Saccharomyces cerevisiae S288C: one gene and its partner. Changing the gene in region 1 together with any one later gene gives a genetic interaction. Each region holds a gene or a part of one and is shown on either strand. Other genes may lie near its edges.

What was found. Genes that interact genetically often act in the same process or in processes that back each other up.
Region 2: mutations in ZRG17 (region 1) and ASG1 together harm fitness more than expected from each alone (negative genetic interaction), as found in Saccharomyces cerevisiae (2 studies listed by BioGRID).

The regions. Positions count from the first base shown.
Region 1 is NC_001146.8:696,697-701,270, forward strand, and holds ZRG17 (Zn(2+) transporter ZRG17), read right to left. Parts: upstream 2,736-4,574; coding exon 918-2,735; downstream 1-917. Other genes in the region: putative ATP-dependent RNA helicase DBP6, read left to right, coding at 1-788; MRX15 (Mrx15p), read left to right, coding at 2,994-3,764; COQ2 (4-hydroxybenzoate octaprenyltransferase), read right to left, coding at 3,845-4,574.
Region 2 is NC_001141.2:100,662-106,176, reverse strand, and holds ASG1 (Asg1p), read right to left. Parts: upstream 3,396-5,515; coding exon 501-3,395; downstream 1-500. Other genes in the region: TAO3 (Tao3p), read left to right, coding at 1-70; forkhead family transcription factor FKH1, read left to right, coding at 3,942-5,396. UniProt on the Saccharomyces cerevisiae protein: Probable transcription factor involved in the stress response.

The sequences.
Region 1 (4,574 bases):
ATACACTTCCAGGGAACGTGATCAAAATGATCTTCAGTGCGACATTGACTACCAACACAGAAAAGTTAAACGGCTTGAACCTTTACAAACCAAAGTTGTTCCTGAAGCAAACCGATAAATTGTACCAGCTACCTAACAAATTGAATGAATTTAACATCAACATTCCCACGGCGAAAAGTGTTTACAAGCCATTGATATTGTTGTATTCAATATGCCAATTTATGGCACATTCCCCCATTGCTGCAAAGATTTTGATTTTCGTTAAATCAAATGAATCGTCTATCAGATTAAGCAAGTTACTACAACTTATCTGTGAATCTCGCTCACAATCCAGCGTATTGAAAAACCTTCAAAATTTGGCGGTGAGTATTAATTCTGTCAATTCAAACAACTCCAAAGCAGAAAATAAAAAAATTGTTGCGAACTTCTCGCATCACTCGGAAAGCGCAGGCATTACCATCTTAATTACTACCGATATCATGTCCCGTGGTATTGATATTAACGATATCACTCAAGTAATAAACTATGACCCACCAATGTCTTCTCAACAATATGTCCATCGTGTTGGTAGAACAGCAAGAGCTAACGAACTTGGTTCCGCTTATAACTTACTAGTAGGTAGAGGTGAAAGAACGTTTTTCGATGACTTAAACAAAGATCTAGATAGAGACGGTAAATCTGTCCAGCCATTAGAACTCGATTTTACCCTATTGGAATCTGATTCTGAACTATATACTTCGTCTCTAGAAAGTTTGAAAAACTATCACAATAACACCGCACAAGCTTAATTTCTCACTTTCCACCTTCGCATCCATTCATTTATAACATTCAAACATTTTTTTTTTTAGTCTCATTCTAATAACTCCTGAGTATAGTAATATTAATATGTATGTATTGATGGGTATGTAACTGTAAAATTATATTCGGTCTATGTCTATTGTAGTTTCACACGTTGGAATGCTCGTTTGAATGCACTTGTCAATGGCTAACCTTAACATCAATTCGTCATCGTCGGAGCCTCCTTTCATTGTTATCTTGATCAGTACCACATAAAGCGTAAAATTCACTTTGCTTATTACTATATCATCGTAATTTAGGATGTATCTGGATTTAAACTCACTTAATCTCTCGATTTGGTCCTTGATCATGTTCTTAATGGTTGTTGGATTTTCAGTGAAACCTGCAGAATTCAAAAACCCAGTTTTCCGTATCTTTGTATTCTTTGTTGCTATAGGTAGTGAGCTCATTGATCTTGGTCGTACAGATGGTTTTTCTTTAGCAGCTTTAGACTCGACTTGTTGAGTATGGGCGGTCGTATCAGTGCTGTCATTATTATTGAATAACGCTGAATTGGATAAAGATGTGGTGGAAAATCCCATTAGTAACACTGTCGAGGTCCACCGTGCTATAGTCAGCCCATGCCATAGAATTAAACTCGAAATAACCAAAGTAGCAAGGTAATCGGATATACTCGATAACAGATCCAATAGTAGGGGATAAATGAATAGGTATGCTGTATAAGTGATGGTAATAATCGGGTTCTTCGTCTTTAAATTACTGTATTTGTTAGCATAAAACGTCTTATAAAGTGATAACGTCGATAACACTAAATTGATCATTAGTATGCTATACCATAAGGTAATATTCTCGTTTTGTGAATCATTGGCATTGGCAATGTGGGAATGAGGAATTTGCTCATTAATTTCATCGTGATCATGGTTATTCGTCAAAGAACTACCAGATTCTACAAAGAGGACTATGAATTCTTCAATTATATGGAATAAAAGGTCCAGCCCAACAAAGCATAACGAAACGGCAAGCGCAAAACTTAGTAGAACGTCTATTCTATTTAACCCGAATGGAAATGTGATAGTGCCTGTAAACCATACCTGGAACTGAGACAAATTTTCCACAAATATGATTACCAGCGAACCGATGATATCGTAAGTAATAAAATGCGATAGTGTAATAAAATTACTCCATGAGTACAGGTGTCCGACTTGGAAAGTAATCAGACATGCAAAGATTTGTAGAGCGGCAATAGATAACTGAATATAAGCCTTTGGCCATGGCAAATTTGACAGCAAATCATTGAAATCTGGAATGGGAAGAGATTTGGCAATGTTCAAAGGAATTTTCACCTCAGGCTCTTGAAAAAAATTCATGGATACAGAGGAATGCTTATAACGATGCCCCTTACGAAATGAGGTCCTTGATGCAGCTGAAGAGGGTGGTGTCTGTTGATGCGGTTGCAGCGTTGATGTCGTAAAATTAAAGGGAGAATCCAAGGTCATAGAAGACCTCTTACTGCTGCCAGCATCGGGGGAAATGCCTCTTACCGGTGATCTTGTTCTGGGAGGAGGCGGCACCAGCTTTGGTGCTGGTATATATTTGAGTGATTGCCTTCGTCCTTCGTTGCCTTTTCCCTTCATCAAAGCAGCTTCATTGATATTAGCATTACTAGAAGCGTTTTCACCAAAAGTGAACGAAGGATTGTAGATGATACTAGAACTGGAATTGTTACCTTCCTTGGCAGAATAAAATAGGGAACTGGGCCTAGGTGATGCAAAAAATGTCCTGTTTTGGGATGGTATACCGTCTACATTCCCGACAGCGTTCATATTGGACAAAGAAAACGATGAAGCATCGGAATCATTCAATTTAGGAGTCTGGAAAGCAACTTCCGGAGACAAATTGTCCTCCTCTTGTATAGCGTTCATTTGCGGCGTCTCCATAGCTCTTTCCCTATTCTATAATCTCGCTCACAAGTCACTAAATATTCACTTTTTCTCTCTTAGTAACAAAAATACCTTCAAGGTTCATCATTTTCAGTAATGAATATTCTTGATATTACGCAATAGGACACTTGTGGAAAACTTTTTGAGGTTGCGTTACCCGCGCTGAAATTCGAGAACAATAAAGATCATCATCTCTCATTTTAGCTACATTATAACATAAGAAGGTGCATTTAGTTATCTTATGTGGACTAGGGTATGACAAACATGGCTGCCAAGAATCAGTTCAAAGGAAGCAGCTTCACACTAGCGCAGCTAATCGAAGAAGTCGGACGTAACGGAGGAAAAAAGCCTGTGTTCCAGTATAAGGTACCACGGTCGATACGATGGGCTTCAACTGCTCTAGCTGTAGTGTTTCTCACATATGGCGCTGCATACACTGATATGTCGTGGAGAACTGCTCGAGAAGTGTACGGAAACGCTACTGAGGAAGAAAAACACAGCCCGTGGTTCAAGTGCAAAACTTTTGGGCCTGTGGCTTTAGGGGTTTTGCCTGTGATCCTCGCTGCTGCCACGAAACACGTAACGTCAAGACTAGTCACAGAAATGAAATATCTGCCACCGCTCAAGAATAGTACGGTGCCACGGTGTCAATTGACTCGACGCACTTACTTGTTAGGAAGACCAGTTTCTATCACGAGGGAGATCAATGAACTGTCTAAAAATAAGGCCACCAAGATCTTCACAGGAGTAGGTTCTCAAGGTATGGAGGATAAGGCCACCTTTGTTTTCTTCACAGTGGATGAAAAAGCACCCTCATTTTTCAATAAATTTTACATTTTCTCGAGATCTGGTAGCGTTGTGAAGAATGACGCCAGGATCTTGGACTGCTTTTTCAACAGTGTGGCAGAAAATAAGCTATTGAACAGGTCAATATTAACTCAGATCCTTTCACATACGTCTGCCAAGACCCTATTTCACTCGGGGAATTCTAGATCATCCATCAAGAATATCGTGAAGCCCAAATAGGTACGGACATCTACGTAAGAATGCATGTAAATAATAATCGAATAAAAGAACAATTAAACACTTGTATATGCACGCTATATCTACAAGAATCCAAACAGTCTCAAGATGTAGTCGACTGCCAAGGCGTACGTAAAGTAAAGTCCGGTGTTGATATTTGCATTAAAATACTTCCAGCAGTTTTTAGGATTGTCAAGATCCACTTTCTTTATCATGCTGAAGAGTCTATAAGCGAAGACTCCTAGTCCACCAATGAACCCAGGCCCCCATAACAACCCACTGTTCAAGCCGGCGACAGCTAACAGTGCGATTTGAGACGCGGACATGGCCTTCATGATAGACTTTGTGCGTGGACCCCAAGCCAAAGCGGTAGACTTGATTCCAGCCTTGATGTCAAACTTTTTATCCTGGTGTGCGTATATAGTATCGTAAGTCATACACCACAAGTAACTGCTCAGGTACAAAGGTATCATTGTAGGCCAGCTCATTACACCCATGGCAGGAAACCCAAGTAACGCTCCCCAATTGAAACATGCACTTAATGCAGCTTGAGGATAGTACGTAAACCGCTTAAACAAAGGGTATGTGAACACAATAGGTAACGATGCAAGGCCTAGCCACCAACACTGCGCAGGAAGCAAAGATAGAACGCCCATTCCAACAAGAGTTTGAGCCCCCAAGAATACTAACGCCCGACGGGGGCTCACTCTACCAGAGGCGATAGGCCTCTCGACGGACCTGATAACTCTTTGATCCAACTTTCTATCCAAAAAATCGTTGATGGTGCAGCCAGCACCTCTCATTACCAATGCA
Region 2 (5,515 bases), on another chromosome or scaffold:
TTCATTTAAAACTCATTTGGCTGATTCATTTGCTGTGAAAATAAACAGGAATGGAAAGCCAAGAATATAAGTTAATTTTTTCGTTCAAATAAATATAAAGCAGGCCTTGGTTTATGATAAGGTACCAATGATGAAGATATTTCGCATATAGCTAATACTGTTCGAAAATTAGATAATCTTATAGAGAAACTATTATCATTGTTTACTATATTATTCATGTTTTCTTTTAATTATCGAGCTTTTGAAGGTGAGGTAGTTTAGGAAGTGAGGCTGATAAGTAAAAATTGGATTTTAGGGAAAACTAGATCCAGGATTGGTACTATTTTCTTTTGTTATTGCAGTTTATCACCATTATTATTATTATTATTATTATTATTATTATTATTATTATTATTATTATTATTATTATCATATATAAATACACACATAAACGTTTTAAGCTTATGTTCAGCAAGTGCTGTAGCCACGATATTATAGAATATAAATCAAAGATAACGTTTTCATTCAGAGGGGTAATTTAAAGGTAGGTATTTCCCAAATAGCTGAGCATCTAACTGATCGAATACTCCAAGAATATCGTTTGAGTCAGTCATATTTTGTTCGTTTTTAATTTCAATATTAGGTGACATCTCCTCTTTATCTTCTATGTTCAAATTGTCTTGTGAAAGCGGTATTTGTAACTGGGGAAACCCTTCATAAGACGGTGAATTGTTATCAATCTTAATGCCGAAGTCATTATTATTTTTATTATTGTTATTATTGTTATTATTATTACTACTATTACCACTATTGTTATTGTTATTATTATTATTATTATTATTATTATTGTTGTTGTTGTTGTCGTTGTTGTTGTTGTTGTGATTATTATTACTATTGTTAGTAATATTATTGTTATTATTGTTTTTGCCACTAACATTATTGTAGTTGTTGTTAATGGTATCTGGGTTGGAGTTATTTGATGCATTGCTCTTACTGCTGCTAAAATCGAATGCACTGTTAGTAGGGATGTCGCCGTCATTCCTGATAAAGACGTCATCTGTGGCATCAAGAATATTTGATTGGCCATTATTATCAAGTCTGATATCAATAGATAAGAAATTGTTCGGATCTCTTTCATTAGACATGTTAGTCGTTCCTTGGGATACTTGATCTTGCTGTTGTGCTTCATTTAAAGGATTTTCGGAAATAGGTGTATTATTTAGGTAATTAGCCATAGCGTAATCATTGGTGCTTTCTTCACTCTTAGCTAATGAAAAGCTATTCTTCGTATCCTGGGAAGAAAAGAATACGGGTGGTTGCAATGAATCTCCTAAATGAGGTTTCAAAGCGGAGGAATTATTAGTCACTAAAAAGGCACTTTCGTTGGATGGTGATGAATGTAACGCAGTAAGCTGGATAGTTTTTGAGTTTAGTTTTTCAAAAATTTGGTTCAATAAATTATAAGTCCTGCTAGCGGCCATACTAGAATCCTTGAGTTGAATAAGAACGCTTCTACCAGTTTCTGCGTCTTTCAAAATATCATAATATTCTCTAGCACTATCCTTATCAGGCAATTGCGCCTCATGGATGTAAAATAAGAGACCTGCAACGGAGTAAAAAATTGTATAACAGGCATACCAGTATGAACCAGTTAATAAATTATTACTAACCATCTCTTTTGCTAACTTAATAACCGTTCGAGCCACGGCAATAGAGTTCCGGGCTCTCCGGTAACATAAGGGATCTACATTTTCAGCATTCATGTTGCGTGATAAATAATGAATAAAAGGCCTGTATAATATTATCTGAACGTGCAAAAAAGACAAATGTAATAAACGATTTGCCCTTTCATATTCAGGATCAATATTTTCTGCGTTAGGTATCAGTTCTTTGGGCAACGAATCCAACCAATTTCTCAACTTTAATTCCAAGCTAGTAACTGTCTCATGAGAAATTATATTACTAGTTTTTTTTATCGGATATAGTTCAGAAATGATCTCATTTAAAATCAAAAATAGTTTTGTATGTTCATTCGAAATCCCCGTACTTGATAAAACGGAGTGTTGGTTCTCAGGTAGGTACGCCACCTCAGTGATATTCTCATCTGATAAATCCAGGGGGAGAGTTTGGTCAAAATCGTCGGGGGAAATAGATCTCGGTAGGCCCAGCATTGCATTGATATAAACGTCCAGTTTATAGATTGTATAAAAAAGGCGTTTCCTCATCTCAATTTCTATTGGACTAAAACCAGAATTGGGGCTCAATTTCCTATGAAAGCCTGCTCTCAAAGCACTTCTCATGGCGACACCGATATAAGTGTAACACGTTGATAAACGTGCGGAACATTGTAAGAATATAATCAGCATTAAAATTGCTTGTATGGAATTCAAGTCACGGGCATTTGTAATGTCGATTAGTTTCCTTGCTGCAATGAAGTACTTGTAACCTTCATCCTGTAGAAACTTTTCCCTTGACGAGTCATTTGAGACAATGGATTTCGAGAATAATGCTCCCACAGCGATTGCAGCGTAGCACAATGGTAAAAATTGCATTTGCTTAGACGTATAATTGTTTGGGTCTGTCTCATACAACTCATCCAATTGTCTAATGAACGATGGTCTGTGATAAAATCGGAGAAGAACACAGCAATGTTCCCAAGTACTTTTCACGAATTGTAAAGCGATCGCTTTTGGTGGTAGAATTATTTTTATTTCTCTACCAACGGGGATATTGGAGTAGGTATCTACACTGTCTTGTTCCCTGTTGCTGGAGGCGCTATTCGAGTCACTTTTCATGTTAGGTAAAAATTCGTCTGGAGTGGAGTTTTTTGAATTTGAAGAAAGTACTGGTTGGATCGGAGAAGAACTGTCATTTACGATTAAAGTATATTCTTTCACAGTGTCATCTAAAAACGACTGCGAGTCCCTCTTAAAATTGTGAAAGATCTGCAAGAACACAGGAATATCCAGATTGTCTATATCAGGTAACTGCGGGAAGACCTCATCAAATATTTGCTTGTACCTGTCAATCTTCGATTGTAACCTTGTGCTCTTAGTCTTATACTTTCTTGGTTTAGATGGATTGTTACTTGCAGGTATTGTAGAAGCACCCGGTAAAATAGCCCTTTCTGTTTTAATGTTTGAGAGGAGTTTATTTGGATTGGAAGCGGCGGCTGCCACCACAGTACTTGATGATGGACCAGTAGTAACATTGCCCAGTGTTAGAACTCCGGAGTTTCCGGAGTTCTGTGTTCTCTTCGTAGGCTTCTTATAAGTACATTCATAAGAGTACACAGTACAATGGATACATGGTTGCTGACCATCACATTTAACTTTTTTCTTTCTGCATTCATCACAGGCTCTAGTGACCCTTCTTCTCTTGACAGACTGTTCCCCTTGTTGCGCTTGTTCTGGCATAACGCCCTTATCAATTATAATATGCGCTCCTTTTTCTTTGTCTCTTACCTTATGGAACTCAAATAAAAAGAGGCTTTTTTTCTATATGTTAACCTCTTCGAGATTTTCTAACCGCTTTATAAAAAATTCGATTACTGGTTGTCTTCAATGCAAGGAACTACTCAACAATAGAAGGTCATGTCCAGGTAGACAAACCTCATTACTGTAGTCACTTTTGAAAAAAAAATTACCAAAAAAAAAAAAAAGAAAAAAAGAAATCACTAGGGCTTGAAGAGCGTAGGTCTTATAAAATGTTTTTTAAGGGCTTGAACGGAAATATAGCATATATGATAGGTCTAAAAAAGTTACGAAATAGGTTATGATCCATGGATGAGGTAAACAAAAAAATGGAAAAACATAAACAAATCAGAAACGGTATAGAGAGAACAGGATGGTAAGAGGTTTAGATGAATACCGGCTCTATAGAAGATTGAAGGTTTAAATAATAGTGTGTAAATTGTGCGTTCAATTAGCAAAGAAAGGCTTGGAGAGACACAGTAATAATAAATGTCTGTTACCAGTAGGGAACAAAAATTTAGTGGTAAGTATAGTTCGTATACAGCCCAGGATCGCCAAGGGCTTGTTAATGCGGTGACATGTGTTCTTAGCTCGTCAAGCGATCCTGTGGCTGTGTCAAGTGACTATTCCAATAGCTTGAGTATTGCCAGAGAGGTCAACGCTTATGCTAAAATTGCCGGATGTGATTGGACGTATTATGTACAAAAATTAGAAGTTACCATTGGTAGGAACACAGACAGCTTGAACTTGAATGCTGTGCCCGGTACAGTCGTGAAGAAGAATATAGACATTGATCTTGGTCCTGCCAAAATTGTGTCTAGGAAGCATGCTGCAATCAGATTCAACCTGGAGAGCGGATCATGGGAATTACAGATATTCGGTAGAAATGGTGCTAAGGTCAATTTTAGAAGGATTCCCACAGGTCCAGACTCTCCTCCTACGGTGCTACAGTCTGGTTGTATCATAGACATAGGTGGTGTGCAAATGATCTTTATATTGCCGGAACAAGAAACTATTATATCGGATTATTGCCTGAATCACCTCATGCCCAAATTACTATCTACTTATGGTACGAATGGTAACAACAACCCGTTGCTACGTAACATTATCGAAGGTTCTACCTATTTAAGAGAGCAAAGGTTACAGGAAGAGGCTCGATTACAACAGCTGGACCACCTACACACCCCATTATCGTCATCATCAGATGTTAACCCAATAGGGGATCCACATGGAGACACGATTATGATGGAAGAAGATGAAGAAGATGAAAATTACACCAGAGGAGGAATTAGACCGAATACATACACGTCCAGTAGCAACAATGCTGTCACTAACGGTAATGTACCCCATATAGAAAATCCATCAGACTTGTCGCTGGATGAAAACAGATATATCAAACCACCACAGTCGTATGCATCGATGATCACCCAAGCCATTCTTTCAACACCCGAAGGTAGTATTTCATTAGCGGATATTTACAAATTTATCTCTGACAACTACGCATTTTACAGGTTTTCTCAAATGGCGTGGCAGAACTCCGTGAGGCATAATCTGTCCCTAAATAAAGCCTTCGAGAAGGTGCCCAAAAGAGCTGGTCAACAAGGTAAAGGGATGAATTGGAAAATTAGCGATGAAGTCAGGCGTGATTTTTTGAACAAGTGGAATGCTGGTAAATTGAGTAAGATTAGACGAGGCGCCTCTGTGACAAGACAGCTGCAATTGCACATGTCCAAATTTGGAGAAATACCTGCTCCTGAATCTTCATCAATTGACCCGAGGGGGATAAAAGCACAGAAGGTGAAAAAGTCTTTACAAGCTACGAGCTCGATTTTAGGTGAAAGCGCCCCGCAATTACAAAGAACTCAACTCACTGGCCAAATTTCTACTACGACATCCATGGACGTAACAACAAACGCAAACGTGAACAATTCCTCTCTGAGTTGAAATTCAGCGTCGTCGAACCCATATGTATTATTAAACAATAAAGAACAAAGACCCGTTAAGAAATATCTTACACCTTTTAGATTAACGATTAAATAAACAAGAATTCTCGATTTATATCT